Linked DNA regions of Caenorhabditis elegans. The protein of the gene in region 1 purifies or fractionates together with the protein of each later gene. This does not show direct contact. Each region holds a gene or a part of one and is shown in the gene's direction. Other genes may lie near its edges. The genes, in order: K10G4.3, taco-1, rep-1 and dgn-1.

Evidence for each region.
Region 2: the proteins of K10G4.3 (region 1) and taco-1 fractionate together in Caenorhabditis elegans (co-fractionation; one large-scale study listed by BioGRID). This does not show direct contact.
Region 3: the proteins of K10G4.3 (region 1) and rep-1 fractionate together in Caenorhabditis elegans (co-fractionation; one large-scale study listed by BioGRID). This does not show direct contact.
Region 4: the proteins of K10G4.3 (region 1) and dgn-1 fractionate together in Caenorhabditis elegans (co-fractionation; one large-scale study listed by BioGRID). This does not show direct contact.

Annotation. Positions count from the first base shown.
Region 1 is NC_003283.11:17,262,468-17,267,364, reverse strand, and holds K10G4.3 (uncharacterized protein), read left to right. Parts: upstream 1-2,409; 5' UTR 2,410-2,411; coding exon 2,412-2,564; intron 2,565-2,617; coding exon 2,618-2,788; intron 2,789-3,014; coding exon 3,015-3,299; downstream 3,300-4,897.
Region 2 is NC_003281.10:281,427-291,136, forward strand, and holds taco-1 (Transcriptional regulatory protein), read left to right. Parts: upstream 1-2,690; coding exon 2,691-2,900; intron 2,901-3,552; coding exon 3,553-3,681; intron 3,682-3,838; coding exon 3,839-4,072; intron 4,073-5,982; coding exon 5,983-6,216; intron 6,217-7,724; coding exon 7,725-7,775; 3' UTR 7,776-8,037; downstream 8,038-9,710. Other genes in the region: xpd-1 (General transcription and DNA repair factor IIH helicase subunit XPD), read left to right, coding at 29-134, 1,208-1,447; Y50D7A.13 (Peptidase metallopeptidase domain-containing protein), read right to left, coding at 8,038-8,113.
Region 3 is NC_003281.10:1,567,611-1,577,230, forward strand, and holds rep-1 (Rab proteins geranylgeranyltransferase component A 1), read left to right. Parts: upstream 1-2,695; 5' UTR 2,696-2,713; coding exon 2,714-2,829; intron 2,830-3,813; coding exon 3,814-3,883; intron 3,884-3,933; coding exon 3,934-4,164; intron 4,165-4,942; coding exon 4,943-5,094; intron 5,095-5,189; coding exon 5,190-5,397; intron 5,398-6,136; coding exon 6,137-6,315; intron 6,316-6,616; coding exon 6,617-6,776; intron 6,777-7,337; coding exon 7,338-7,434; intron 7,435-7,483; coding exon 7,484-7,561; intron 7,562-7,722; exon of another isoform or gene 7,723-7,795; intron 7,796-7,819; exon of another isoform or gene 7,820-7,892; intron 7,893-8,164; exon of another isoform or gene 8,165-8,240; intron 8,241-8,261; exon of another isoform or gene 8,262-8,334; intron 8,335-8,470; coding exon 8,471-8,598; intron 8,599-8,815; coding exon 8,816-8,929; 3' UTR 8,930-9,028; downstream 9,029-9,620. Other genes in the region: Y67D2.2 (Ubiquitin carboxyl-terminal hydrolase), read left to right, coding at 2,146-2,241; Y22D7AL.7 (Talin_middle domain-containing protein), read left to right, coding at 9,146-9,268. UniProt on the Caenorhabditis elegans protein: Substrate-binding subunit of the Rab geranylgeranyltransferase (GGTase) complex. Binds unprenylated Rab proteins and presents the substrate peptide to the catalytic component B and remains bound to it after the geranylgeranyl transfer reaction.
Region 4 is NC_003284.9:10,924,863-10,931,770, reverse strand, and holds the start of dgn-1 (Dystroglycan 1), read left to right. Parts: upstream 1-2,772; 5' UTR 2,773-2,875; intron 2,876-3,951; exon of another isoform or gene 3,952-4,156; intron 4,157-6,908.

The DNA of each region.
Region 1 (4,897 bases):
GCAATGTCCGAATATAAATGTTAAAAAATTATAGAACGCTCATAAATTTTTAATTATTTTTTTTTATTTTGCAACAAAAAAAATTAGAAATGACTGAAATTTTCGACTTATTTTAAATTGCAGCGCAAACGTGTATAACCTTTCGTTTTTGCGTTTTCTGACAAAATTCATTAGTTTCTTTTTCTGATTTTTCCTTAAAAAATTGGTTGTCTAACGAAAATGCCTCTTCTACGCACTTCTACACTGTTTACCTTTTATATTTTATTACTTTTAACATCATAATGTGACATCATAATGTGAAATTTTCGTTTTGAAGTAGAGTCCTTTAGTTTTTTGCTTCAAATTATCAAATGTGGGTCGCAATGTCCGAATATAAATGTTAAAAAATTATAGAACGCTCATAAATTTTTAATTATTTTTTTTTATTTTGCAACAAAAAAAATTAGAAATGACTGAAATTTTCGACTTATTTTAAATTGCAGCGCAAACGTGTATAACCTTTCGTTTTTGCGTTTTCTGACAAAATTCATTAGTTTCTTTTTCTGATTTTTCCTTAAAAAATTGGTTGTCTAACGAAAATGCCTCTTCTACGCACTTCTACACTGTTTACCTTTTATATTTTATTACTTTTAACATCATAATGTGACATCATAATGTGAAATTTTCGTTTTGAAGTAGAGTCCTTTAGTTTTTTGCTTCAAATTATCAAATGTGGGTCGCAATGTCCGAATATAAATGTTAAAAAATTATAGAACGCTCATAAATTTTTAATTATTTTTTTTTATTTTGCAACAAAAAAAATTAGAAATGACTGAAATTTTCGACTTATTTTAAATTGCAGCGCAAACGTGTATAACCTTTCGTTTTTGCGTTTTCTGACAAAATTCATTAGTTTCTTTTTCTGATTTTTCCTTAAAAAATTGGTTGTCTAACGAAAATGCCTCTTCTACGCACTTCTACACTGTTTACCTTTTATATTTTATTACTTTTAACATCATAATGTGACATCATAATGTGAAATTTTCGTTTTGAAGTAGAGTCCTTTAGTTTTTTGCTTCAAATTATCAAATGTGGGTCGCAATGTCCGAATATAAATGTTAAAAAATTATAGAACGCTCATAAATTTTTAATTATTTTTTTTTATTTTGCAACAAAAAAAATTAGAAATGACTGAAATTTTCGACTTATTTTAAATTGCAGCGCAAACGTGTATAACCTTTCGTTTTTGCGTTTTCTGACAAAATTCATTAGTTTCTTTTTCTGATTTTTCCTTAAAAAATTGGTTGTCTAACGAAAATGCCTCTTCTACGCACTTCTACACTGTTTACCTTTTATATTTTATTACTTTTAACATCATAATGTGAAATTTTCGTTTTGAAGTAGAGTCCTTTAGTTTTTTGCTTCAAATTATCAAATGTGGGTCGCAATGTCCGAATATAAATGTTAAAAAATTATAGAACGCTCATAAATTTTTAATTATTTTTTTTTATTTTGCAACAAAAAAAATTAGAAATGACTGAAATTTTCGACTTATTTTAAATTGCAGCGCAAACGTGTATAACCTTTCGTTTTTGCGTTTTCTGACAAAATTCATTAGTTTCTTTTTCTGATTTTTCCTTAAAAAATTGGTTGTCTAACGAAAATGCCTCTTCTACGCACTTCTACACTGTTTACCTTTTATATTTTATTACTTTTAACATCATAATGTGACATCATAATGTGAAATTTTCGTTTTGAAGTAGAGTCCTTTAGTTTTTTGCTTCAAATTATCAAATGTGGGTCGCAATGTCCGAATATAAATGTTAAAAAATTATAGAACGCTCATAAATTTTTAATTATTTTTTTTTATTTTGCAACAAAAAAAATTAGAAATGACTGAAATTTTCGACTTATTTTAAATTGCAGCGCAAACGTGTATAACCTTTCGTTTTTGCGTTTTCTGACAAAATTCATTAGTTTCTTTTTCTGATTTTTCCTTAAAAAATTGGTTGTCTAACGAAAATGCCTCTTCTACGCACTTCTACACTGTTTACCTTTTATATTTTATTACTTTTAACATCATAATGTGACATCATAATGTGAAATTTTCGTTTTGAAGTAGAGTCCTTTAGTTTTTTGCTTCAAATTATCAAATGTGGGTCGCAATGTCCGAATATAAATGTTAAAAAATTATAGAACGCTCATAAATTTTTAATTATTTTTTTTTATTTTGCAACAAAAAAAATTAGAAATGACTGAAATTTTCGACTTATTTTAAATTGCAGCGCAAACGTGTATAACCTTTCGTTTTTGCGTTTTCTGACAAAATTCATTAGTTTCTTTTTCTGATTTTTCCCAGCGTGCTTTTTTTCAATGATATCGATAATTACCTTATTGCGAAATGAAGTTTTTGAAATTTTTTGATATTTCAGATGCATTTACGCGACTTGGATATCTTGATAAAATTAACAAAGCATTGGATGACTGAGGAACTAACCGATCATATGAGCTACAACAGAGCCATCGAATGGGATAAGCTCATTATTAAACTTGAAAAAGTTCCAAAAAAACTGTCTCTTAATTCTGTAAGTTGTTTTCTTACGATTTGCTCGTTATAAAGATTTAACTTTTCTTTCAGAAAAAGTATTTAGCAATCCTTGTTGATGAATTCTGCATGGATACGCCAAGATACGGAATTAGCCCCTGGTTTGCTCACTACATCCTATGCTATTGCAAACATAATCTGGACGACGCTCGCGAAATATTAATCGCCAATAAGTGGAAATTGGAAAATATTGAAGAATCTTATGTGAGTTTTTATAATTTTATTATGTGCGAAAGGAAAAATGGGTTGAATACTGGATCGGTTTTACTGTTAGACCTACCAATCGGCGCTCAAAAAAAAAAACGAAAAAAACATATTTTTTTTTGAACGCACCGTTTTTATTTTAAAAATACTCCCTTTCGCATTTGAAACAGACGTTTCTCCACTTTTGATTCTTGCAATTTTCGCAAAATTAATGTGATTTTTTCAGGAAAAAATTTCCGAATTCCAAAGACAACTAGACTTGAATCGTAACAACCAAAACAATGACAAAATTTATGAAGCCATTAAAAAAGAAAAAGAAAAGATCAGGAAGAATGTCTATGAAAGAAATGAACAGTTGCGAGACTTTAAGAACATTCCATACGGATTCCAGCCAACCTTAGAACTTCACAACCTTATGCAGGACCAGATTGAGGATTTCATCGAAGAATATCTTGGACAGTACTTGGAAAAACTTGGAAAACTTGGACTTGGAAAAAAATACAAAGGTTAGTTGCATTTATAAACATATGAAATAATTTCAATATTAAAAATTAAAGTCTGGTCGTAAATAAATCTAAAAAGGGTGCGCAATGAGTAATAGTTTCTGTTAAAAGATTAAGAATTTCCTGGGTTTGAAGTTTTAGAAATTCAAGCTTACTAAACGTTTCTAATTTCGTACTTTCTTCTTATTCTTAATGTCTTAAGAGTTTTAATTTTAGTTTTTGATTCGTTGAAATAACCTTTTAGTAAAAAAATATAAGTAAACTTTAGACAGCTCTGATAGAACATTTTATTGACCAAAAGCGACCTAGGTCTCACGATGCTCAAAACGCAAAAAAAAAAACGAAACGTGTCTCAAGAATCAATTATTTGTCGCGTAAAGCCTTTTGATTATGTAATACTTACAGAAATTACAACCATAGTTGGCAAAGGCAGTAGCTCACTAAACCAAGTTCCAGTAATAAAGGAAAAAGTGATGGCGATCTATGGAAGAAGAGTCCGCGAACACTCCAGCAACGGAGGCATACTTTTCTTCACAATTTAATACTTAAAAATCACTTTCAACCTTTAAATATTCATTGCTAAATCAAAACTTAACGTTTCTCCAATTTTACCGACTCCAATTTTACCATAACGATAAAAAAAATTAAAATTTTGAACCAATAATAATTAAACAGTCGAAATTAAACAACAAAAAAAACAAAATTTCGAAACATCCCCTAACTTGTATAAGCCCCACGTTCCCAGTCGCCTTATTTTCATTTTATTGTACGTCGCCTCTTCTCGTAAACTCTTTCTTTGTTTCACTTCCCCACCCAAGTTGAACCGCTGAGGATTAAATCTGAGCTAGTTTAGTTATTGCCTATTCAAATTTGATTGATCAATGCAATTTTTGTTCCCGTTGTTTAGTTGTATTGTTAAATATTAATTTTTATGTTTTTAATTTAAATTACTTTGTTTTTATTCACCATCATAATTTTATCGCCCACTCTTTAAGTTTTCAGCACTTTTTAGGTTTCTTCTTTTTTATATTTCCTGGCGAGTTCCCAGTGGGGATATCCGTATTTATTGTCAAAGTTTCCGTCTACAAGCACTTTTAAATTCTCAATTCGCTTGTCACCTCATTTCGTGTTGCACGAAAAAAGGTTGGCGTATTCCTTGTTTCCTTTGCTGGAACGTTTATCGTGTACTTGCTTGAAAATTTTGTCAATACTTTTCATATTCTTCTCTATGTTATATTTGATTTTGTTTCTACTTTTTTTTGCTTTGCATTAGCACTTTTGTGTGCAACTTCTCTTTATATTTTAAGATTTTGTCCAAATAAACATTATTTAAATTGAAATATTGTGTTCTCGTGTTTATTTTCAGAATTTTTCGCATTTGTCAAGAGAATATACAGACAAGAAGCAAACGTAATACAGGCACGTGACAAGCGTGAAACATGCACATGGTAGGTCTGACGCAGGTATGCCGGTTAAAGGTTCCTGGTATTATCTGAACCATATTACAATTTGTATTTAAACATTTTCCGATATAAAAAGTCATACAGATACATAGATTGGAATATATATTTTGTGTTTTGCTAATAATCTAAAAACCTTTGCTCAT
Region 2 (9,710 bases), on another chromosome or scaffold:
AACTACCAAAACTTGATGATTTTTCCAGAGAAAATGATTTTCTGACATTTGACGCAATGCGACACACTGCTCAATGTATGGGACGAGCTCTCCGTTCGAAAACTGATTACGGATTGATGGTATTTGCTGATAAGGTATAAAATAAAGAGATTTATCGATTTCCCGAAAAAAAATCAGAAAAATCAGAAAATTCTCGATTAAAAAATCACGAAATTTAACCAGAAAAAGTTGTTTGAAAATTTTTTGGCAATTTTTCAACAAAAAATGTGTCCATTTTGTGGGCGTGGCATGAGAATTTGAAAAAAAAGCTAAATATTGATTTTTTTCACTGGAAAATCAGAACACTTTGAAATAATTTGCACAAAATTCACTAAAAAACCTGAAAAGCTAAGCAAGTTTTTTTTCCATTTTAGCTGCAAAAAATATTCAAAAAAATTTTTGGATTTTGGTAGAAAAATTCCACGATTTTTGTTAAAAACATATCGAAAGTTCACTAATGTTCATAGTTTCAAACTGATTTTTTTCAGCTTGAAATGCGCTGAAATTCTGATGTACCATGTGGCAAATGTGCTATGTCGGCGATTTTTGTGCGGAAATATCAAATTTTAGCATTAAAATATGCAAAAATTTGGAATTTTCACCCGAAATTGCTCACCGGGAGCACATTTGACCACTTTCCCGGGGAACCTCTGCCCAAATTTTCATTTTTTTTTTGGACGGAAAATTCGGAAAATGATTTGAATTGTAGAGATACTCTGAAAAAATCTGAAATTGGCTGAAAAAAATAGCGGAAAATTGAAGAAATACGAAGAATTTCACCAGCTGCCCAATTTTCTGAAATTTTTATTAGAAATCTGCCAAAAATCGCAAAAAATATAGTTTTTCGTCCCCAAAATTGAAAATTTTCGCTTAAAAATGCGAAATTATTTTCAAAATTCAAAATTTTGAAGCTTTGAAAAGTGACCATATAATGGGCGTGGCTTGTGATGCTCCGCCCATTTTTCTAGAGAATTTGAAAAATATTTTCCGTGGCAAATGTGTTATGTCGGTGATTTTTGTGTGGAAATTTCAAATTTTAGCATAAAAATATGCAAAAATTTGGAATTTTCACCCGAAATTGCTCACAGAGAGCACATTTGACCACTTTCCCGGGGAACCTCTGCCCAAATTTTCCATGTTTCCCCTCAAAACTTGTAATTTTCTTCAGAGATTCTCCCGAAACGACAAACGTGGAAAATTGCCCCGCTGGATGCAGGAATACCTGGAGCCAGCTTGTACCAATCTGAGCATTGACGAAGCGGCACAAGTTGCCAGGCGTTGGCTCACACTAATGGCTCAGCCATTCGAAAAGGAGCATCAGCTGGGTGTTTCGTTGTTGGATAAGGAAATGGTTCACGATTCGCAGATTATGAAGAGATTTGAACGTGTTGTTGAATATGTTGATTAGATTTTTTTTTTGATTTTTGAGCTATTTTTCATGGAAAATTTGTAAAAATTTGAGAAAAAACCGTGAAAAATGAGTGAAAAACAAAAAAAATCGCTAAAAATTGATATTTAAGCCAATTTTCAGTGAAATTTCTCAAAAAAAATCAAATTTTTGGGTTACTGTAGCCCCAATAGTACGTAAACACTAAAATTCCCGTTCTTCAGTAAATTTTCGCAAAAATTTAAGTTTTTTGGGTTACTGTAGCTCCAAGAGTACGCAAACACTGTTATGGGCGTTTTTCAGTGAAATTTCTCAAAAATCCGAATATTTTCGGGTTACTGTAGCTCCAAGAGTATGCAAACACTGTTATGGGCGTTTTTCAGTGAAATTTCTCAAAAAAAAATCAAATTTTTGGGTTACTGTAGCCCCAATAGTACGTAAACACTAAAATTCCCGTTCTTCAGTAAATTTTCGCAAAAATTTAAGTTTTTTGGGTTACTGTAGCTCCAAGAGTACGCAAACACTGTTATGGGCGTTTTTCAGTGAAATTTCTCAAAAATCCGAATATTTTCGGGTTACTGTAGCTCCAAGAGTACGCAAACACTGTTATGGGCGTTTTTCAGTGAAATTTCTCAAAAATTCGAATATTTTAGGGTTACTGTAGCCCCAAAAGTACGCAAACACTGAAATGCGCAATTTTCAGTGAAATTTCTCAAAATTTTCGAATTATTTGGGTTACTGTAGCCACAAAATTACGCAAACACTACAATGTCCGTTTTTCAGTGAATTTTCTCAAAAATTCGAATATTTTTGGGTTACTGTAGCCCCAAAAGTACGCAAACACTGAAATGTGGAATTTTCAGCGAAATTTCTGAATTTTGACCGTAAAATTGAATTTCTTAATTTAAAATTAATTTAAAATTTAAAATTGCTAATTTTCTAGATTTTTCACTGGAAAATGCTCTTTTTTTTTCTCATTTTTTCCATGGAAAATCTCAATTTTTCCCCGATTTTTTATTAATTTTCCCTCGTATTTTACCATATTTTACCAGTTTTCCTCCATTAATTTATTAATTTTTTTTTGAAAATGTTCTCAATTGTATCTCATAATTTTCGTTCTCCTTTTGAAAAAAATCACCGGTTTTTCAATTTTTTTTCCGATTTTCAGCCAATTTTCGGTTTAAAATGGTAGTTTTTACCTGAAAATATCGATTTTTCCGGGATTTTTCCCTTGAAATTTCAAAATTCCCCCAATTTTTTGCAGATGTTCTCCCCGCTCCGTCGGCTCACCACAACGGGTCTCCAGCTCCAGAAGCTTCAGAAATTGCAGAAGCTCCAACAATTTCAGCCGGCGAGAGCTGTGCATTTGACGGTTTTTCAGCAGAAGGGGCACTCGAAATGGCAGAATATTAAGGCGGTGAAGGGAAAAAATGATTTGATTCGGTCGAAGGCAACCAACTTTTTACTCAGAAAGGTAGGTTTTCGGGTTACTGTAGGACCAAAAGTACGCAAACACCGAGAAAAGCGAATTTTCGATTAAAAACCATGAATATCCAGCGATTTTTAGTACGGTAGCACCAAAAGTACACGAACACTGACTGCCGTACCCCAATACACCAGATCTCACGGAAAAATGCAGAAAATCCAAATAATTGGGTTACTGTAGACCCGAATGTACGCAAACACGGACTACCGTAACCCAGTACACCAGATCTTACGGAAAAAAACAGAAAATCCGAAAAATTTAGGTTACTGTAGCCACAAAAGTACGCAAACACCAAGATTTTACGATTTTTTTGCAGAAAAATTGACAATTCCCATCAGATTTCTCAAAAATACAAGATTTTGGGTTACTGTAGCAACAAAAGTACGCAAACACGGACTACCGTAACCCTGTACACCACACGTTACGACAAATTGCAGAAAATCCATAAATTTGGGTTACTGTAGCCTCAAGAGTACGCAAACACAGACTACCGTACCCAATACACCACACCTTACGAAAAAAAGCCGAAAATTTCAAAAAATTAGGTTTTCGGCGTAAAAAGTACGAAAAAATGGAGTTTAAATACGAAAAATTGAAATTTTGCTCAGAAATTCCTAGAAAAAGCGATTTTTTTTTCCAGGTCCGTGGAGCAGTATCTCGTGGCGGGTTCGACATGAAGCTCAATCGAGAACTCGCTGATTTGGAGTCCGAATTCAGAGCACAAGGACTTCCACTGGACACGTTGAAGAACTTTTTGCAAAAAATGAAGGTATAATAGTGAAAAAATGAGGAAAAATGATGAAAAATCGCAGAAAATGCAATTTTTTTCGCAAAAAAGAGTGAAAAAACTTGATTTTTAACCTAAAAACCGCAAAATTTTGTCTATTTTTCCACAAAAACTCCAAAAATCCCCCGAATTTTTGCAGGACAAGCCCGAAGTAGAATACTCGTTCGATATCATTGGACCATCTGGAATATTCCTTATCGTAACCGCCGAAACTTCGAACAAAAAAGCGTTTGAAAACGATTTACGGAAGTATTTCAACAAGTTGGGCGGTTTCCGGTTGGCAGCTGATGGTGGTGTTCGTAGTTGGTTCGAGGAGAAGGGTGTTGTGCATGTTGACACGAAAAAAGGCGGAAAAATTCTGAATATTGAAGAAGTACGGGCGATTTTATGCTGAAATTCTGTTTTTTCCTGAAAATTTGGAGCTTAACGGCGTTTTTTTTGGAGTTTCTAGGTCAATTTTGAGGTTTTTTGCGTTACTGTAGCTCTAGAAGTACGTAAACACTAACCAGGCACCGAATCTTACGACAAATTGCAGAAAATCTAAGAAAATTGAAATGTTTTATCCAACTAGGTAGAAACGTACTTAATAGTGAAGAATTTGGGTTTCTAGCTCAATTTTAAAAAAGTCCGGGTTACGGTAGCCCCGAAAGTACGCAAACACCGATTAGGCACAGAATCTTACGAGAAATTGCAGAATTTATCTGAATTTTAATTTTAATCGGCTAATTCTTACCTGAAAGCATTTTTATCTAAGGTTTTAGCTTAATTTTGAGGTTTCTTGGGTTACTGTAGCTCTAGAAGTACGCAAACACCGATTGGGCACTGATTCTTACGACAAATTGCGGAGTTTGCTCAAATTTTGAATAATGCTCTTTTTTCTCCTTCCTGGTAGCATTTTTATCTGATATTTCAGCTCAATTTGAAATACCCGGGTTACTGTAGCGTCAGAAATACGCAAACACCGGCTTGGATACGACAAATTGCAGAATTTATATGAATTTCAATTTTAATCGGCAAATTTCTGCCTGGATTCCTTTTTATCGGAGTTCTAGCTCAATTTTGAGATTTTTCGGGTTACTGTAGCGCCAGAAATACGCAAACACCGACTAGGCGCCTAATCTTACGACAAATTGCGAATTTTTTTGTAATTTTGACTTACGCGGCTTAATTCAACCTGAAACCGTTTTTGTCTGAGGTTTTTGCTGAATTTTGAGGTTTATTGGGTTACTGTAGCTCCAGAAGTACGCAAACACCGATAAGGCACCGAATCTTACGACAAATTGCAGAATTTATTTGAATTTTAACTTTAATCGACTACGTTCTGCCTAAGATAATTTCTATCTGAGTTCTAGCTAAATTTCGAAATTATCCGGGTTACTGTAGCTCTAGAAGCACGCAAACACCGACTAGGCATCATATTTTACGACAAATGACAGAAAATCTCGCAAAACGAGGTTTCCAGAGTGAAAAATGACAAGAAACACGATTTTTTCTATAAGAATGCGCAGTTTTTCAGCTGAAACTAGATTTTTCTCGAAAAAATCTTTAAAAACTTAATTTTTGGGTCAAATTCGCTGAAAATGCGCGATTTTCTCAATAAAAATTGGCAAAGAATGAAAAAAATTCAGTTTTTCACGTAGAAATTGAGAATTTTCGTTCAGAAACGGGTTACTGTACCGTCAAAAGTACGCAAAACCGACTACCGTACCCCAATACAATACACCAAATCTCACGGAAAAATGCAGAAAATTTCTAAAAATCGGAGGTTTTCGGCTTAAAAGAACTAAAAAAACGGAAAAATCTCAGTTTTAGACTGAAAACTCAAAATTTGTGACTGAAAATTGATTTTTCGAACGGTGATTTTGAGGTTTTTTGGGTTACTGTAGCTCTAGAAGTACGCAAACACTGACCAGGCACCGAATCTTACGACAAATTGCAGAAAATCTAAGAAAATTGAAATGTTTTATCCAACTAGGTAGAAACGTACTTAATAGTGAAGAATTTGGGTTTCTAGCTGAATTTTGAGGTTTATTGGGTTACTGTAGCTCTAGACGTGCAAACACCGATTAGGCATCATATTTTACGACAAATGACAGAAAATCTCTAGAAATCGGCTAGCTGGGGTGAAAAATAACGAGAAACACGATTTTTCGACTGAAAATTGATTTTTCGAACGTAAAATTTATTTTAAAACAGCTCCCGGCGTGATTTTCACCAGGAAAATCGGTTTTTAACTCGAAAATTAGTGAAATTTTGGATTTTTCATCGATTTTTGTGTTTCAGATGGAAGAAATCGGTCTGGAATTCGATGCTGAAGAGGTTTTACTGATTGAAGAGGACTCAACGAAGAAATTCGAACTAATTTGTGATGCAAAATCACTTCAAACTCTTGAAAACGGCCTCGGAAAGGGTGGATTCTCGATTTTACAGTCGGAAATTGAATTCCGACCTGTTCATCCAATTGATTGTCCTGAAGCTGAGGAGCCAAAGGTTCAGAAGTTGTATGAAATGCTTCAGGTACTGGAAAAACTAAAAATTCCGGGAAAAACTCGAGAAAAAACTAAGATTTTTGGACAAAAAATCAAAAAAAAAATTGAAAAAACCGAGAAAAATTGCAGAGAAAGTTGTAGAAAATTCCGTAATTTTTTAAAAAATTCAGAAAATTTAAAAACTTAAAAAAATATATTAGACAATTTTTTTATTCCAGAAAATTCAAAAAAATATTCCGGAAATTTTCAAAGAATTCAGAAATTTTAAAAAAATTTGAAATTTCAAGAAATTCCACAAATTTCTTTAAAAAATCCAAGAAATTCTAAAATATTTCAAAAATTCCAAAAAATTACAAAAAATTGCAGAAAATTTCTAAAAAATTCGAAAATGTGTTGAAAAGAATGTCAAAAATGAGAAAATTCAAAAAATATCTCAACAAATTCGAAATTTTCCAAAAAATTCCAAAAAGATTTCAAAAAATTTCAGATATTTCTAAAATGCATCAGAAAATGTTTTTTTTAATCAGAAAATTCAGGAATTTTCCAAAAAAATTCTTTAAAAATTCCATATATTTTCAAGAAATTTGAGAAAATTGTAACAAATTCCAGGAAATTCCTAAAAAAAATGTTTGAAAATAAAAAAAAAAGTTCCAGACAATTTCAAAACTTTTTCAAAAATTCCAGAAAAATTAATAAAAATACAGAAAATTTAGAAAAATTCTGGAAATTCCAAAATTTTTCGAAAGATTTTTGGAATTCTATGGTAATTTTTTGAAATTTTCCAATTTTTGACATTTTTTCAATACATTTTCAATTTTTTTCTGAATGTTCTGAAATTTCAGAACATTCCTAAAAAATGTCTGAAATTCTGAAAAGTTCAAACATTCAAAAATATGTTCGACAATGTTTTTTCAATTCCAGAAAAAATTTCTAAAAAGAATCAGAAATTTTTCCAAAAAATATAGGAAATCTCAAGAAATTCCAGAAATTTTCTGAAAAATCCGCTAATTTTCGCAAAAATTCCAAAAAATATCAAAAAATTCCATGAAATTTCAAAAAATTCTAGAAATTTTTTTTTTCAAGAAGTTCAGAAAAAATTTCTAAAAAATTCCAGAAAATTTCCGTAAAAAATCTAAAAAATTTCAAGAAAATTCGAATTTTTTTCATTCCAGAAAATGTTTAAAAATTCCAGAAAATTTCAAAAATATCAAAAAATTCCATGAAATTTCAAAAAATTCTAGAAATTTTTTTTTTCAAGAAGTTCAGAAAAAATTTCTAAAAAATTCCAGAAAATTTCCGTAAAAAATCTAAAAAATTTCAAGAAAATTCGAATTTTTTTCATTCCAGAAAATGTTTAAAAATTCCAGAAAATTTCAAAAATATCAAAAAATTCAAAAATGAGAAATTTTCAATAAATTCCAAGAAATTACAAAAAATTCCATAAAATTTCAAAAAACTTCAACAGTATATCAGAAATTTTCAAGAAATCCAGAATATTTCGAAAATATTTGAGAAAATTTGTATTTTTTATTTCAGGAGGACGAACAAGTACGCCAAATTTTCGACAACATCACACCAGACGAGTAGCCGATTTTTTTCAATTTTTCATTGAAAAAAGCCGGAAAAGCGGAAAATTTCCATTGTTTTTTCTCTATTTTTAGTCGTTTTCCCATCAGAATTCCATTTTTTAAATCTTTTATTTTATTTTATTTATCAGTTCAATAGATAGGATTCCCGCATTTCTTGTTGTTTTATTGAGTTTTTATTGATTTTTTAAAATTGAATTCCACCTGTTTTTTTTGTTAGTATAAAGCTATAATTAAAAAAAAAAAACTGAAATGTCCATATTTTATTGTCCATACAGCTTCCGAATTGCTCGAATATCGTATTTTGACAATTGAATTTTTCCGATTTTTGCTGGTTTTCTGTAATTTTATACTTTTTTTTGGGATTTTTGGGGTAATTCTTTAGAAAAATTTGATTTTTTGCACCAAACTTTTTGAAAAAAGAAAAACTTTCTAGAAAATCTGACAGCAAATTTCAAATTCTGGCATTTTTGAGCTGAAAACTCTGAAAAATTCCATCGAAAATACGAAATTTTTGGAAAAATCCCAAAAGGTCAGCTTTTTTGGGCTGAAAATAATTTTTTTTAAATAAAATTTGAATTCAAAAATATCCGGCCGAAAATCGATAATTGCCAGGTTTTGCAATAATACCAAATTTTTCCCAAAAAATGGTACTGTAACTCTTTTCAGCGGTGGACGGCAATTTTATTTTACGGAAAATCGGCAAGAATTGACGATTTTCGATTCCGGCAACTTGCCGATTTGCCAGAAATTTTTGATTCCGGCAATTTGCCGATTTGCCAGAAATTTTCATTTTTGGCAATTTGCATATTTGCCGGAAATTTTCATTTTCGCCAAATTTGCCGATTTGTCGGAAATTTTCGATTCCGGCAATTTGCAGATTTGCCAGCAATTTTCGATTCCGGTAATTACCGATTTGCCGGATAATTTAATTCCCTGCAAAATGCTGATTTGCCAGAAGTTTTGATATTCGGCAACTTGCCGATTTGACGGAAATGTTCATTTTCGGAAAATTCGCCGATTTGCCAGATATTTTAGTTTTCGGCAAATTGCTGATTTACCAGAAATTTTCATTTTCGGCAAATTACCGATTTGCCAGCAATTTTCGATTCCGGCAATTTGCAGATTTGCCGGAAGTTTAAAATTCCGCCAATTTGTCGATTTGCCGGAAAGTTTTAATTCCGGCAATTTTCCGATTTGCCCGAAATTTTCAATTCCGCCAATTTGTCGATTTGCCGGAAATTTTCAATTTCACCAATTTGCCGATTTGCCAGAAATTGTCAATTCCGGCAAGTTACCAATTCGCCGGAAATTTTCAATTCAGGCAATATGCCGATTTGTCGGAAATTTTGAATCTCCGCAATTTGCCGATTTGCCGGAAATTTTCAATTCCGGCAATTTGTCGATTTGCCGGAAAGTTCTAATTCCGGCAATTTTCCGATTTGCCCGAAATTTTCAATTCCGCCAATTTGCCGATTTGCCGGAAATTTTCAATTCCGCCAATTTGCCGATTTGCCGGAAGTTTAAAATTCCGCCAATTTGTCGATTTGCCGGAAAGTTTTAATTCCGGCAATTTTCCGATTTGCCCGAAATTTTCAATTCCGCCAATTTGTCGATTTGCCGGAAATTTTCAATTTCACCAATTTGCCGATTTGCCAGAAATTGTCAATTCCGGCAAGTTACCAATTCGCCGGAAATTTTCAATTCAGGCAATATGCCGATTTGTCGGAAATTTTGAATTCCGGCAATTTGCCGATTTGCCGGAAATTTTCAATTCCGGCAATTTGTCGATTTGCCGGAAAGTTCTAATTCCGGCAATTTTCCGATTTGCCCGAAATTTTCAATTCCGCCAATTTGTCGATTTGCCGGAAAGTTCTAATTCCGGCAACTTGCCGATTTGCCAGAAATTTTTGATTCCGGCAATTTGCCGATTTGC
Region 3 (9,620 bases), on another chromosome or scaffold:
AATTACCACCCCCTCCCCCTTGTCATCAGGTTACCCAATCTCCTCTCTCACTACGTATTTATATATTCTCCCAGCTGCTCATAGAGCGCATTCTATGTGGATTTGCATTACGACCGCAGATTTCAATCACCAAAATTTCGCGCCAAAATTTTATATTTCACTTTAATATTCGAAACTTTAAGCTTTCTAGCGATCAAATGCTTATATATATATATATATATATATATATATATATATATATGTATTTATATACCAGCCGTGGACCGCACCTCCGGCGCGGCCCCCGACTTCTGTTGCTGAAAACCAATGTTTCTGAAACTACCGTAATCATACAGTACTCCTACCGTACCACCATTGTACCACTACTACAGTACCCCGACTATATCCCTACACTAACCCCAACTCACTATCCCTCCAGAAGCTAAAACTTCGCAGACTACAAAGACTACATAGACTACAAACTATGGACAAACGGAATAAGCGCTTTATATATAGTAAATTATATATATTAGGTCTCCAAATAAGTTCCGGGTCAAAATTGATAACTTTGTTCGCTGTGTATCAATTTTTATGAAACTTTGGGAATTTATGTTATCAACCATGATCTTTCATTTGACAATAGTCACAAAATTTTTTGACCACCCCAAGTGTCCTAACTCGGAGCCAATTTTTTCAGGCATTTTTCTGATCTCGGTTCTTTTCAGTTTTCAATTGAGCTTTGTGTGCGGATTTTGCTTTGTTTAGAATACATTATTAGAAAACAACAAAAGTTTGGAAAAAAATCCGCCCAAAAAATTTTTTTTTGTCGAAAATTCTTGATTTTTCCTACAAAAATGATGTAACCAAGTGTAAACTATTTTTACACATATAAATCATTTGAGTTAAAAATTTGAATCTCAAGAAATATTCAAAAAACTAAAAAATTATCCGAAAAAATTGTATTTTCTACTATCATTTTAGTGTATCGAACTAAGTTGATATGTTTTGTATGTCGAAAAATAGTTTACACTTGGTTACATCATTTTTGTAGGAAAAATCTAGAATTTTCGACAAAAATTATTTTGAACATTTTTTGACGACCAACCAAAAAAATTTTTTTTTGGGCGGATTTTTTTCCAAACTTCTGTTGTTTTCTAATAATCTAAACAAAGCAAAATCCGCACACAAAGCTCAATTGAAAACTGAAAAGAAGCGAGATCAGAAAAATGCCTGAAAAAATTGGCTCCGCGTTAGGACACTTGGGGTGGTCAAAAACTTTCGTGACTATTGTCAAGTGAAAGATCATGGTTGATAACGTAAATTCCCAAAGTTTCATAAAAATCGATACGCAGCGAACAAAGTTATGATTTTTGACCCGGAACTTATTTGGAGACCTAATATATATATACCAGCCGTTCGAACGCGCTGAAGCGCGTGCTCCGACTGGCGTACTCAAAATTGAAATCAAATTCTAAAATTTCTAAGCCTTTCTCTGTAGATGGAACGTTTTTTTTCTGTTTTCCGGAAGTTTTCGAGCAACATAAATATTATATAGCTGAGTGTTTACAACTAAAAAAAAACGTTTTTCAAATCATATAAAACTTTTTTCCGGTCCTTTCCGAGAGTTTTTGGCGAGCGTTTCTGGAAATTATAACAATTTTGATCTTTTTTTTTCAAATTATTGAAACTTCAGAATATTCTAGGAGTATCAAAACTTGAAGAAGTTTTTTTTTTTGAACTTTCCGAAAGGTTCTAGAAATTTGCAGGTTCCTGAAATTTTCCACGAAATTGAACACTTCAGAATTTTCCCGATTTCTCTAGAAAGTTTTGGAACATTCCAGAATTTTCTCGAATTTATTTTTCTCAGAAAATTTGAATTTCCAGTCAACGAAGAGCCTTTGTCACAAAAACGACATATTATTAAAATTCACAGAATTTCCTAAATATTCCCTTCCTAAACATTTTCTCGTGACCCATGTGCTTCTACTCGTATTGGTGGCATAAAAACTGTATTTATTCACAGTTTCAGTCTTAAATTGGCCGAAAATGTGAATAAATACCGTATTTCTGCCAACAATTTGACAATAGAGCACATTTGTCACTCGGAGATGCGGAAGCTATGCCCAAATTTTCATTTTTCCCCCGAAAACTTGTATAATTTTTCAGGTAACCCGTGTACCGTACTCCCACGTGGCAGCCTGTCAAAGTTATATGCTATTCTACGAACGTGTCAAACCTCATCGACTCTACGAAAGGATGTAATTTCTGGATTTTTATTGATTTTTTTGAGAAAATTTTTTTTTTGGAAATTTCGCAATTTTTTTCCCAAACAATTGATTTATTTTGTTGCTAGATTCCCCTTATTTTTTGTTGTAAATTTTAACATTTTAATGACACAACGTGTAGCATTTCCTTTAAAGTTTATTTTTTGTGCAAAAATTCAGAAAATTTGAAAAAAATATTATAACTCTTCCCCCCGTCCCGTGCCATTTTTGTTAAGTTTTGTGTGTGTGTGTGAAAATGAAGATTTTTCGTGTTTTTTCCACTTTTTTTAGTTAATTTTTAAAGGTTTTCAGCCGTAAATCAAATATTTTAATAGAAAAAAAAATTTTTTTTGGAAAATTTTCAAAAAAATTTTTTTTTTTTTTGGTTTTTTTCAATTTTTCAAATTTAAGCATGACATCTCTTATTTTCCAAAAATTCAAACTATTTCCAGCTTTTCCAGCTCTAAAAAATGGACGAAAAGTTGCCAGAATCAGTGGACGTAGTGGTGCTGGGCACCGGACTACCTGAAGCCATTCTGGCTTCAGCTTGTGCTCGAGCTGGCTTATCTGTGCTTCATTTAGATAGGTAATAGGCGAACTAACATTTAAAAAAAGTTTAAAAAAATGAATGAATGAAATTGAAAAAAAAAAAATTTTTGCGAAAAAAAAATTATTTTCGGCTAAATTTTTTTTTTAATCATAACTTTTCCTCAAAAATACAGCAAAATTCGAATTCTCCACGTCGCCAGCTTCAATTTGATCCCCAAATTGCCTATATTCCGCTGGTTTTGAAGTTTTCGGGTCCCGCCACGAAAACTCCTCGGGTTACTGTAGTTTTTCGCGGCGGGACCCAAAATAAACGGATTCTGGGCATGATGGGGGTCATTTTGAAGCTGAGAACCTGATGAATTCAAATATCACATTAATTTTCGGGAAAAATCAGAAAGTAAAAATTTTCTGACCAAGTTTGTGGAAAATTTTTCGGAAAACGTCAAAAGTTTCCAATTTTCGAAAAATGTCAGCCAACTGATATCATATTCGAGTTCTCCACGTCACTAGCTTTAAAATAACCCCCCACCATGTCCATATTCCATTGATTTTGATTTTTTTGGGTCCCGTCACGGGTTACTGTAGCACCGATTTCAGCTGTGTCGATTGTCAAAATACACCGAACCTAGGCGTGTTGGGGCTCATTTGAAAGCTAATAACGTTGAGAAATCAGATTAATTGTTCGTTTTCGGAAATATCGAAAATTAAACAAATTTTAAGAAAAAAAAATATATATTTGCCAAAACATTTTTCAATTTTCAGAAATTTAAAAAATCAGAATTCTTTCTGAAATCTTCACGTTACCAGCTTTCAAATGACCCCCATCATGCCCATATTCCGCCTACTTTGAGAATTTTGGGTCCCGCCACGCGGGTTACTGTAGCACCGATTTCAGCTGTGTCGGTTGTCAAAATGCACGGAACCTAGGCGTGTTGGGGGTCATTTGAAAGCTGATAACGTCTGGAATTCGAATTTCATACTCGATTTCTTGAAAAATTCGAAATAAAAAATATTTTTGCAGAAATGAGTACTACGGCGGTGATTGGTCATCATTCACAATGTCGATGGTTCATGAAGTGACTGAAAATCAGGTTTTTATTGATTTTCAGCCAGAAAAACCCCAAAATTTCCGAATTTTCAGGTAAAAAAGCTGGATTCCTCGGAGATTTCCAAGTTATCAGAGCTTTTGACTGAAAATGAGCAGCTCATTGAGCTCGGCAATCGAGAAATCGTGGAAAACATTGAAATGACGTGGATTCCACGTGGAAAAGACGAGGAAAAGCCGATGAAAACGCAACTGGAAGAGGCTTCACAAATGCGGCGATTTTCCATCGATTTAGTGCCGAAAATTCTACTTTCCAAGGGAGCAATGGTACAAAATTGCAAAATTACACCTAAATTGGAGAACTTGATGTTTTGCCCTAATAGTCATCAAAAAATCAATTTTTGCCAAAAAAAAAATTTTTTTTGAAACTTTTTTTCTGAAAAAAAAGAAAAATTTTTCTAAAAATTCAATTTCCTCATTTAAAACTCTGAAATTCGAATTCTCTACGCCACCAGCTGTCTAATGACACCCAACATGCCCAGGTTCCGACCGCTTTGAAAATTTTGGGTCTCGCCACGCGGGTTACTGTAGCATCGATTTCAGCTGTGTCGAGACTGCCAAAATTCAAAATCAACGGACCACGGACATGTTGGGGGTCATTTGAAAGCTGATAAAGTGGAGAATTCGAATTATTTGCTAGTTTTCTGAAATATCGAAAATTTAAAAAAATTGAAAAATATTTTCCAAAAAATTGTCAATTTTCAGAATATTCAAAAATTAACATTTTTTCCGAGATCTTCACATCACCAGCTTCAAAATGACCCCCATCATGCCCTGGTTCCATGCAATTTGATTTTTTTGGGTCTCGCCACGCGGGTTACTGTAGCACCGGCTTCAGCTGTGTCAAAACTTCCAAAAGTCAAAATCAACGGAGCCGGGGCATGTTGGGGGTCATTCGAAAGCTGAGAGCGTCGAAAAATTCGAATTTCCGCATTATTTTCAGATATTGAAAAGTTTGACAAAAATTTATGGGAAAATTTTGAAAATCTTGAAAAAAATTTGGAAAAAAAAAACGATTTTCTTCCAATTTTTTGAATTTTTTCAGGTTCAAACACTCTGTGACTCCCAAGTATCCCATTATGCCGAGTTTAAGCTTGTCAACCGGCAGCTATGCCCAACAGAGACCCCAGAAGCCGGAATTACCCTAAATCCGGTGCCATGTAGCAAAGGAGAGATTTTTCAGAGCAATGCTTTGTCGTAAGGGATTTTTTTAGGCTGAAAATCGATAAAATATCGATTTTCTTTGCCAAAAAAATCGATTCGCAATGATAAATCTCCAAAAATTCTTCCAGAATCCTGGAAAAGCGAGCTCTTATGAAATTCATCACATTCTGCACACAATGGAGCACAAAAGACACGGAAGAAGGCAGAAAACTGCTCGCCGAGCACGCCGACCGCCCGTTTTCAGAGTTTTTGGAGCAAATGGGCGTTGGAAAGACCCTGCAGAGCTTTATTATTAATACGATCGGCATTTTACAGCAAAGACCCACTGCGATGACGGTGAATATGCGGAAATTACTGTTTTTTAGAAAAAAATCTGAATTTCTAAAAAAATTGAAAATGAAAAAAAAATCCAAAATTTTTTTTTTTGCACGAAATTTACTTCAATTTTTTTCAAAATATTATTGAAAAATTTGAATTCTCGCCACTCTCAGCTTCAAAATGACCCCCAACATGCCCGGGGTCCGTTGATTTTGAGTTTTGGCAGTCTCGACACAGCTGAAACCGGTGCTACAGTACCCCGCGTGGCGAGACCCGAATTTTCAAAATCATCGGAACCCGGGCAGTATGGGGGTCTTTAGAAAGATGATGATGTGGAGGATTCGAGTTTTGAGTCGATTTGAAAAGAAATTTATAATTGAAAAAAATTTGAGCAAAAAATTATTTTTTTTTTCGAAAAAATGTTGATTTTGTCTATTTTGCTAAAAATTTTTGAAAAATTCAAATCTCTAACGCTTTCAGCTTTACAATGACCCCCATCATGCCCATTTTCCGTGCAGTTTGCGCTCCGACACAGCTGAAACCGGTGCTACAGTACCCCTCGTGGCGGGACCCAAAATTTTCAAAATCGATGGATCATGGGCATGATGGGTGTCATTTGGAAGCTGGTGATGTGGAGAATTCGAATTTCGAGTTGATTTTCATGTCAAATTTGAAATTGAAAAAAATTTTGAGAAAAACAAATTTTCAAAAAAAAAAAAAAATTTTTTTCAAAATTTAAAATTTTTCCAAATTCCAGGGAATGTTGGCATCATGCCAGTTCATGGATTCTGTCGGCCATTTCGGTCCATCGCCATTCCTCTTCCCACTCTACGGATGTGGAGAGCTCTCACAGTGCTTTTGCCGGCTGGCAGCAGTCTTTGGGAGCTTATATTGTCTGGGACGGCCTGTACAGGCTATCGTGAAAAAAGATGGAAAGTTAGTGAAGAGAATAAGCGAAAAATCAATAGTTTCTGCGAAATTTGACCTAATTTTCAAGTCAAATTCCCAGCAAAACTAGTTTTATACAATATTCCGTGACTCATGTGTTTCTACCCAGATTGATGGCATAAAAACTGTTTTTATTCACATTTTCAGCCTTAAATTGTGCTGAAAATGTGAATAAATACCGTATTTCTGCCAACAATTTGACAATAGAGCACATTTGTCACTCGGAGATGCGGAAGCTATGCCCAAATTTTCAATTTGTCGGAAAACCAATTTTCTCAAAAATTTCCAGAATTACGGCTGTAATTGCCAATGGAGATCGTGTAAATTGTCGCTACATCGTGATGTCCCCGAGATTTGTCCCCGAAACTGTTCCAGCTAGTAGTACGCTGAAAATCGAGAGAATCGTCTATGCGACGGATAAATCGATTAAAGAAGCCGAGAAAGAACAGGTTCCGGAGCATTTTTTGGAGTTTTCCACCAGGAAATTCGATTTTCCCGCAAAATTCCACTCTAGAATTCAATTTCCCCGGGCTTCTAGCTCAATGTTACAATTTTTGGGGTTACTGTAGCGCCAAAAGTACGTTGACCTCGGTGCTTGCGTACCTGAGACCGAATTTTACGAAATTGAGCTTAAATTGGCTGAAAATCATGTTCCGGGGTGAATTGGCAACGGGAAATTCGAATTTCGCATTGAAAACCACCTTGGTCAACTGGTTTTCGAGAAAAATTTAATTTTACTCGAGAAACCAGTGCTCCTAGTTGATTTTCAATGCAAAATTCGAATTCCCCGTTGCCAATTTACCCCGTAACTGAAATTTAAGCCAATTTGGGTTCAATTTCGTAAAATTCGGTGTCAGGTACGCAAACACCACGGGGGCATCGCGTACTTTTGGCGCTACAGTAACCCCGAAAATTTCAAAATTGAGCTAGAAGCCTGGGAAAAAATAATTCTAGAGTGAAATTTTGCGGGGATTTCGAATTTCGTATTAAAAATCCGAAAAAATTTTCAGCTAACCCTCCTCAATCTGGCATCTCTCCGGCCCGACGCCGCAGTCTCACGGCTTGTTGAAGTGGGCTTTGAAGCCTGTACGGCTCCGAAAGGACACTGTAAGCCCCCACGTTTTTTCCTAGAAAAATAAAGATTTTTTTTTTGCAGTTCTGGTGCATGCAACGGGTACCCAAGAAGGAGAAACAAGTGTCAAGACTATTGCAGAGAAGATTTTTGAAAAAAATGGTGATTTTCGCGGAATTTTTAGGGGGAAATTTTGAATTTCCACTACCGAAAACCTATTTTTCGCTTAAAATTTGAGAAACTTTCATGGAAAAGTCATTTCCAAGTGAATTTTCCCTAATTTTAGGTGAAAAATTCGAATTCTCCGCTATAAAAAACCTATATATCCCCACGGGGAATCGAACCCTGGACCTTTTGCTCCAAAGGCGAGCCGCTTAGCCACTGCGCCACGCGTTGCAGCTAACCAGTGATGCATGTTGCACCCCGTGGCGCAGTGGCTAACAGGCTTGACTTCGGAGCAAATGGTCCCGGGGTTCGAGTCCCCGCAGTGGTGTATAGGTTTTTCATAGCGAACATTTCGAATTTTTAACTTAAAATTCGCAAAAATTGAGTTACAACCTAGTTTCCTGAAATTTTCGCTCGAAAATGATACAAAATCCATTTTTTTGAACTATTAATATATGTTAAGCTTCAAAGTTCTAAAATAGAGACTCCAAGAGTTGAAATCTCAGCAAGGATTCAGTGAAATTTTGAGAAAAATTATTTCCAAGTGAATTTTCCCCAATTTTAAGTGAAAAATTCGAATTCTCCGCTATAAAAAACCTATACACCCCCACGGAGAATCGAACCCCGGACCTTTTGCTCCAAAGGCGAGCCGCTTAGCCACTGCGCCACGCGTTGCATCACGCGCCGCTGGTTCGGCGCACCGGTGGCGCAGTGGCTAACAGGCTTGACTTCGGAGCAAAAGGTCCGGGGTTCGAGTCCCCGTGGGAGTATTTAGGTTTTTCAGGGCGGAGATTTCGAATTTTTCACTTAAAATTCGCGAAAATTGGCTTGGAACCCGGTTTTTCTTTAATATTTTTGAGTTTTTCGATTTTTCCTAGAAAAATCGATATTTTTTCTGCATTTCAGAAGTGGAACCCTACTGGAAGATGAGCTTCACCGCGAATTCCATGAAATTCGACACCGCCGGAGCCGAAAATGTCGTCGTCGCGCCGCCAGTTGATGCGAATTTACACTATGCTAGTGTGGTGGAGGAGGTTAGGGCGAAAGAACGATGAAAATTGGATTTTTGAGCTGAAATTGAATTAGAAATTCAAATTAGAAAAAAAAATTTCGAAAAAATATAAAAATTAAAAAAAAAAAATTTTTTTGAAAAATTTTTCAGAAAATTTTTTTTTTCGAAAATTTTTTTGAATTCAATTTTTATCGATTTTTCTGAATTTTAAACACCTGCTATATATCCATTTTTTCCAGTGCCGCCAACTATTCTGCACAACTTGGCCCGAGCTCGACTTTTTGCCAAGAGCCATGAAAAAAGAGGAGGAAGAAGAGGAAGAGCCGGAAACTGAAGAAATTGCAGAAAATTAATTGAAAATTCGAGTTTTCCATGTAAAATTACCCCCAGACTCCCGTTTTTTTTGGCGATATTTCACTTTTTTGTGCATTTTTTGTAAATATTTGAAGAATATTTAACCATTTTTCATTGATTTTATCGATTTTTTCTGGGTTTCCAGCCTATTTTTTTACTTACTTTTTGAACATTTTTAATCATTTCAGCCCAAAACCCCCTCATTTTAAGCAAAAATGGACGAAGAAGTAGTGTTAGAATTGGCGTCCCAACAAGCCATCAAGTTTTTGCTCGCCGAGCCAAAATTTGCGGAAAAATGGCAGATGGAGATAGCGAAAGGACTGAGGGAGGACTTAAAGGTGAGATTTCTACAAAAAATTTAAGAAAAAACTTCGAAACCCCGAGGTTTTTACGAAAAAATCCATTTCTAGGCAGATTTCCATAGATTTTAAGTAAAAATTCGAAATCTCCGCTATAAAAAACATAAATACCTCCACGGGGACTCGAACCCGGGACCTTTTGCTCCAAAGGCAAGCCGCTTAGCCACTGCGCCACCGGTTTCCCAGCCAGCGGCGCGTGCTGCACCGGTGGCGCAGTGGCTAAGAGGTTTGCCTTTGGAGCAAAAGGTCGGGGGTTCGAGTCCCCGTGGGGGTATTTAGATTTCCTATAGCGGAGATTTCGAATTATTCACTAAAAATTAAGGAAAATCTA
Region 4 (6,908 bases), on another chromosome or scaffold:
TTCAATTTTCTAAGAATTCAAAAGTGTGAATCCAGAAGAATGCGACATCCATAAAACGTCTCCGCTTGTTGAGAAACATTTCAACTGTGACCCGGGTTCGTAACCCGCCGTAACCATGACATTCTTATTTGTCATCTGGCTTAGCGTGCACTGACCATGTCAATGCCGGCCGGAGCAAAACACTACGTTCTGTTCCATCACTTTTGCTTCTTTACGTTATTGTATTTCGCTGCCAAATTCATTAGGATAATTCAATCGGTTTCGAAACCGGACACCTCCTGCATGCATATCCACTTTTCACTTTGTTTTCTCGACAGGTTGTAGTGTCAACATTGGCTCCGATGGATATGGATATAGCTCATTGTTTTCAAAAATTTTCTTAGTTCATTATTATTTTTGGTAGTCAATTTTTCGTTTCCTAAGAATGTTTTAATTTTGATAATTAGTAGTAATTGAACAACATACTTCTCCAGTGAAGTAAATATTCGAAACAAATTGCCAAATTGTAATAATCTTGCATTTTTATTCTGTACTGCATGCACATGTCATAATATGACAAAAAATTATTTATCTGAAGTTCCGCAGGATCGGAAAAATTATGAGCGTAATTCCATTAGTTAACTAAATACAACGAGAAATTAATTTTTTATTATTGTGAACCGACCAAATCATATTATTTAAACGTTTCACTTAAATTATCTTCATTAGTGGTCAATACAGGGACGTGAGCCTCATGTGGTCGTTTTTAGCCATTGTGACCATTGGCTATTTTCCTCTCATTCCACTTTTCTTCTTTCAAAATTGCCCCACTATTCATTTGATACTCTACAATTATTATTCTCATCGTTGCAGTCTACGAATCGGATCATATAATAGTGAGACATTTGGTCAAACTGGCTTGGTCCTCGTTTTTTACTCGCTTCACTCGGAAGGTCATTTTGCTTGCTTTTTGAATGCAATTGCAAGAAATATGAAACTATATCTTTGAACCACGCAATCTTTTTTTTTGTTTTGTTTCTGTTAATTGATGACCTTGAAGAAGTATAAGAATCTTTTTCAAAAGGTATTATTATGCAGTTATATCTAAACTGTAAATTTGAAAATTCAAAGTATCTCATATTCCTATATGTACCAGTAGTTTGTATTTTAAATTTCCAATTCAAAATTTTAATATGGAAATGATGTAAACACCATTCCGATTTTATTCCATTATTTTTCTCTCAATCTCTCACTCTTTTCAATTTTACTAGAAAACAGATTTTTATTCTTTCGAATAGAAAACCCTCTACCGTTCCTGACTCACCATTCTATCTCCTCACACACCACTTTCTACGACATTGCCTAACTTTTTGTGCGTTAAGTTTAATGTGCATTTGACCTTTATCAGTTACTCGTGTCCTCTTTCCTGTCTTGATATTTGATTTCAATCACCATCGAGTAATTAGTGTATTGGACACACATACCGAGAAACCACTAACAAGAAACGCCCTGATTTTATTTTTCCTTGAATAGCAGGACGGATCGTGTTAAATTCTAAATAACGTAGGACTGGAAAAATCACATTTTTATGACAACAGGGACTTTGTCGCAAAATTTAATTAGTTCTACATTTGGCCAGGACAATGATTACCGTGGCTTTATGATCAACAACATCTAGCGTGTCTTATCAAAAGCAAAAATTGTTGGAAATCCTAATTTTCTGTTTTGTTAGACTCTATTTTATTTCTTTTGAAAATCCATTACCGTTTTATGTTTTGAATAACTTCAAAATCAAACAAAACTACAGATTGATATTTGCAATCTAATATCTTCGTTTAAATTTCAACTTTTTTAAATGTGCTCTTCGAAATTAGTAAAAAATTTGTTTTATATATTTGCAAACTTCATATAGATATGAAAATATACATATGATAAAATGAAAATAGCTGTATTCCCTTGCCACGCATATAGACGGCGCATTCAAAAACTCATTGCACTCTGGTTTTTTTTTCAGAATTTTAATTACAATGGGGGTTATATTTCATGGGAAGAGCCTTTTTGAAACTCACCGCTTTTCTTCGCTCTATTGATATTTTTGATTTCCCTCTGCGTATGCAGAAAATAGTACAAACCACACTGACATTCATTGTAGTAACTCTAACTTTTATGCCCAAGAAAAGGCAAAAAAATGGTAAGAAAAACGTTTATGAAAGCTTTCTGTTTACCTACCTTGACCATTTTCTCTTTTTCCCCTATCCTCCAACGAGTGTACACACATTTTCGGGTATAATTCATCCGAATGGTTGGTGACAAGAAAAAAAAATGCTTCAAACTGTGTGCGTATGTTTTTCTTGTCAAAACCACATTCATAGTGTGTTATCAACAAGGAGGGATGCAACAAAAGAGAAAGCGAATTTTCCAGGTTGCATTCTTCATTTCGTACTTGCTATCTCTTTCCTCTGATAACCGTTTTTTCGGCAATTTCAATACCTCCTTGATTATATTTATGAGGTATGCAACTGACAGTGTTTCTTTTTCTCTTACGATATTTATTTTCACATCAAAACTATACACATTGCTAGCTTTTTTATTCTTTTTTGAAAAACCTATATTCATCAGATCTCAGAAGTTCCAATTTGAAAGTTTCTTCAATATGTACATTATCGTAAATTAGTCTGTCAACTGATACAAATCGCTTTTTGCCAAGTTTCAAAAGGACACCCCTTTTTGAAGTTTTCCGCTCCATTTCATGTCTTGAACGTATATGTTGCAAAAGTTACTTTCGATTTTCAGAACGACAACGTGTATTGAACCGAACTTGTGATTAGAATCGAAAACGAAATTTCAATTTGGCGCACCCATTTTTTAGTCCCGGCTTATTGATAAACACATAGAGGTGAGACTTTTTTTAATGCCAGTTTCGAACGCGTGCCCGGAAGTTTTTCGAGGCATTAAAAAAATTTTCCTATGTAACTAAACAATTCTTTTAGTCTTATAAAATGTTTTACTAAATCTCGTTTCCTGATATATGTAGTTTTGTACACAGAAAACGAGATGTTTTCTTTTGTATTTGCCTGAAAAACTTATTCTGCTTCTTGGCACAAATCCAAAAAAAGCGGCGTCATGTTTGTGCATTCAAAAACACTTCAAAGGTGTACGAAGCCACAAATGTTGTGACTACTCATATGTGTACAGAGATAGGTGTTTCAAAAAAAATTTTCGTACGACTTCAGAGTGACGTCCTTATTTTGAAACATTCACTTAACTCGAAAACATCCTGGTTTTTAGGTATTATATGAATTGTCTGCTAGTTTTTTTTTTTCGAAAAACCGAGTTTTTTCTCTAAATAACCTAAATCTTAACAAAAAATGTTGTTTTCCGTTCTTCACGTTTTTCGGTTTTTCAATTTTGCGGTGTGGGTCAAAAAGCCGAAAAACCCAAAAAATCGAAAAAAAATTAGGGTCCAGTTTGAAAAAGTGCAATTTATGTATGTTGTTTGTATGAAATAGGGCGTCATCAGTAATAAAAATATTGCATTCTGTATAAAAATACCGATTTTGGAGTGTTTTCAGAATTTGTTTTTGCAGTTTTCTCAAAAGCGAAAATTTCCGTTTTTCAGTTTTTTGAAGAACCAAAAAATCGAAAAAAGTTTTGGCGCACATAAAATGTTTTGTTATTCTCAAAAAATTTCGTCCCTACTAAATTTTACTCAACAATGTTCGTCTTCGCAATTCTCAAAAGAAACAAAGTGGCCCAAGATCTTACGTCAATCAAAACATTCAAAAGACTAGAATAAGAAGGCCCACTGTTTTTATAATCTTGTTTTTACACTCACTTAGCAAATCCGGCACTCTTTGTTCGGTTGCTAATAAGGTGTCAAAGTGACAATTGAAACCCCTCTGAACTGACTCAATAAAAGATAAGATGGAAAATAAATCGAATCTCCGTTTTCAATATGTTTCGGTCGGTTTCTTCTATTTATATGCAAAATTCATTCGAGACACCATACCAAAAGCTCCCGTGGGAGCTGGCCTTCTTATGTCGGTCGGTTCATGGTCCGTAGGGAGTGTCGGAAGGACGGAAGACCACGAAGGAAACGTCTTTGTTTGTACGGATCGCTTATTTATTATGCAGATTGAATATTGGCCACCGCTTCGTTCTTCATCTGTGTTCGGCTTTATTAGACTGCTCAAATGTTGCATGCCATTTTCCTCCTCCTCTCTCTTCGTAGCCGTAACGTATCGCATGTCCATTTCTGATTAGCTCTCGTCATCCGTTCTTCTTTCATCCTTATAAATATCACCATCCGTCTTGAATTGACCAAGAAAAATTGTAATTGTTCCAAACGGACCCGCATTGTACGTCTGAACACCCAGTCATTAGGCTTATCTTCCAATCGTTGCCTCCTCGTTTGCTCCATCCTGCACACACCTGGCCACAGGTACGGTGACGCAACTTTATGAGGTTGAGCCGACCAAATAGGACCATCTCCGTCCTTCCCCACATTTTTCGCCTCTCACTTTATATGTTTGGTCAACAGGGCTTGCCTCGTGCTTGACCCTACCCATACGCACAACTTTCTCTTTTTTGCTGAGGAAACTTTTTTGACGCGGGGTTTTTTACTCGAAATCTACGCTATCCAAATCTGATTTCTGTCCAAACGTCCTTGTCCATTCCTTGACTCTTCTCAATTTGATGATATGTGATGGAATCGTGCCCCCATTTGTGTGCCATCTCTTCAACGCAGGAGCTCTTTTATGTCGTTACAAGCATCTGCTTCAACGCGCGCAGCTGCACACAGTGCCATTTCTTGCCCTCGTTGTCGCGTCAAAAGTATTGCACAATACGGATAGATTACATAAGGAAATCTGTATTCAATCAGATGGTTTACGATCTGCCCGGTGGTGAATAGATATTTTCAACAGCTTATGAGAAAATCGGCTCCAAATTAATATGAATACGGTCACATTGAATAACTGAATTTATGATCTAACATTTTGAATTAACTAAATTTGCACTTCTCTGATTATGCTTATATAGTTTAAAGATTTTACCGCAACATTACAAACTTTTAATCCTCTAGTCTGATAATGATTTATGTCCGCTTCATTGTGAGCGACCAAAAAACTTTAGCTTGTTCACAGGAGTGTGCTTCAGGAATTTTTCAATTAATCTCTTGTGATATCACTTTCTTTTTTTTTGCTCTTACACCAAATATTTTTTTGGAAAAATTGTCAAAATTGACTTAATGGAAGCTGGTGGCTGAAAAATATTTGAGGAATGATTCATGATTTACCGTTTCATTTTTTTATTAAAAAACAAAAGTCTAATACTTTTGGTTCCTGTCAACATGGGGATCCGGACAATGAGAATGAGACGAACGCGCTGACTACTAGCAGTCGAAGTACGAAACCAGAACAATAGGCGTGTTAGTCTCAGTTTTAGCAGTACGTTTTGTCTCCGGTGTTCCCGTGTTAGAAGTGTATACAATTACCCTTTGCACAGTGGCTGTCGATTCAAGCAATTCGAGAACGTTAAGCCAGGTAATCCATGCCTAATAGATGGCAAACGGCACCCATCATCATCCTCATCGTTCATTTAATTAGCACGTTCGTTTCATCTTCAATACGTTCCTCACTGGACGTTAATCCAACCAATTTCGCGCACGGAAAGGTGTCAGAACAATGAACTGAGACGATCATTTCTCACTGGGTTTTTGTGTGTTCTTTTTGTGAAATAAGGTAATCCTCAGTCACAGGTTGTCAACGGAGCACTAGTGTCAGTCAAATGTACACCTGCTCTCATTTTTCTCTTTCTTGTGTCACCATCTCGTCTCACGTCTTCAATCTTTTTACCTTCCGTATGTCCCACAGATTCCCAGGATTACCGCTCTCGACGACAATTATGCGATCTCGAAAATGTCGTGAGGGCATTGTTAGGCATATCTGAACAGCCTCAGTCGGTATTACCTTGTCGACGGCGCGCATCTTCGGAGAACAGTAAGAACTATATTTTGCGAGTTGTATGGGCCGCCTTTCGCCTAATTATGCTCGTATACATCGTTCTAATTACTATAATTATATTGTATTCCATATTTTATCCAAATGGCTAGTAGAGTTCTATACCCTTTCTTTTTATTATAGGAAAAATTGATACTTGAGAAAATGTAATTTAAAACTGAAGTTACAATAATATTTAGAAAATTAGTTTTACTCCTGCTCAAAATTCAACAATTTGAAAAATAAAAATATTTTATCTTCATAAATAAATACTATTTATGACTTGACTTGAAAAACGCATTCATCTACCCAGAATTAAAAAAAAACAAAATTTTTTGTTTAATGTCTAGTTTTTTAGAAGTGTTTTAGAAAAAACTTTGCCGTTGTATATGAATTTTAAAGTTGTTCTTCTTCTACCGACATGGTTTTCAATTTTATATTCGAATGTTTCTTCTCTTCTCCCTATATTACTTTATCACTCTCCTTTCTTCAATGAAAGATGTGTGAACGGTTAATAAGGGTCATCCAACAAAAAACGCAATATTTGCACTACAATTGATTTGTAACTCTTTCCTTTGCACCTCTGCTCTTATTCACCTTTTTTCTCTACCTTGCTTCACACACTTTGAATATCAATGTAACCGTATATTTGATTCTCTCATTTGCTAATTTCCTTCCGTATTCATATCATTATACAGTGTATAGACTCCTTGCTCAAAGGCCTGCAAGAGTACAATTGTTTATAAAAATGCAAAAAGGGAGCTGAGTTAAGAAGAGCCATAAACCGTACGCGAGAAGGCAAGTAGCGAGAAGCCGCCAACAGACTGTAGCTTTTCGCGGACTCCATTATGCCGACGTGTGACCATCTGTTGATTCTAATGATGAGATGACAGACAGGCACATGTTGCTTTTAGAATCTGCTTCTTAATG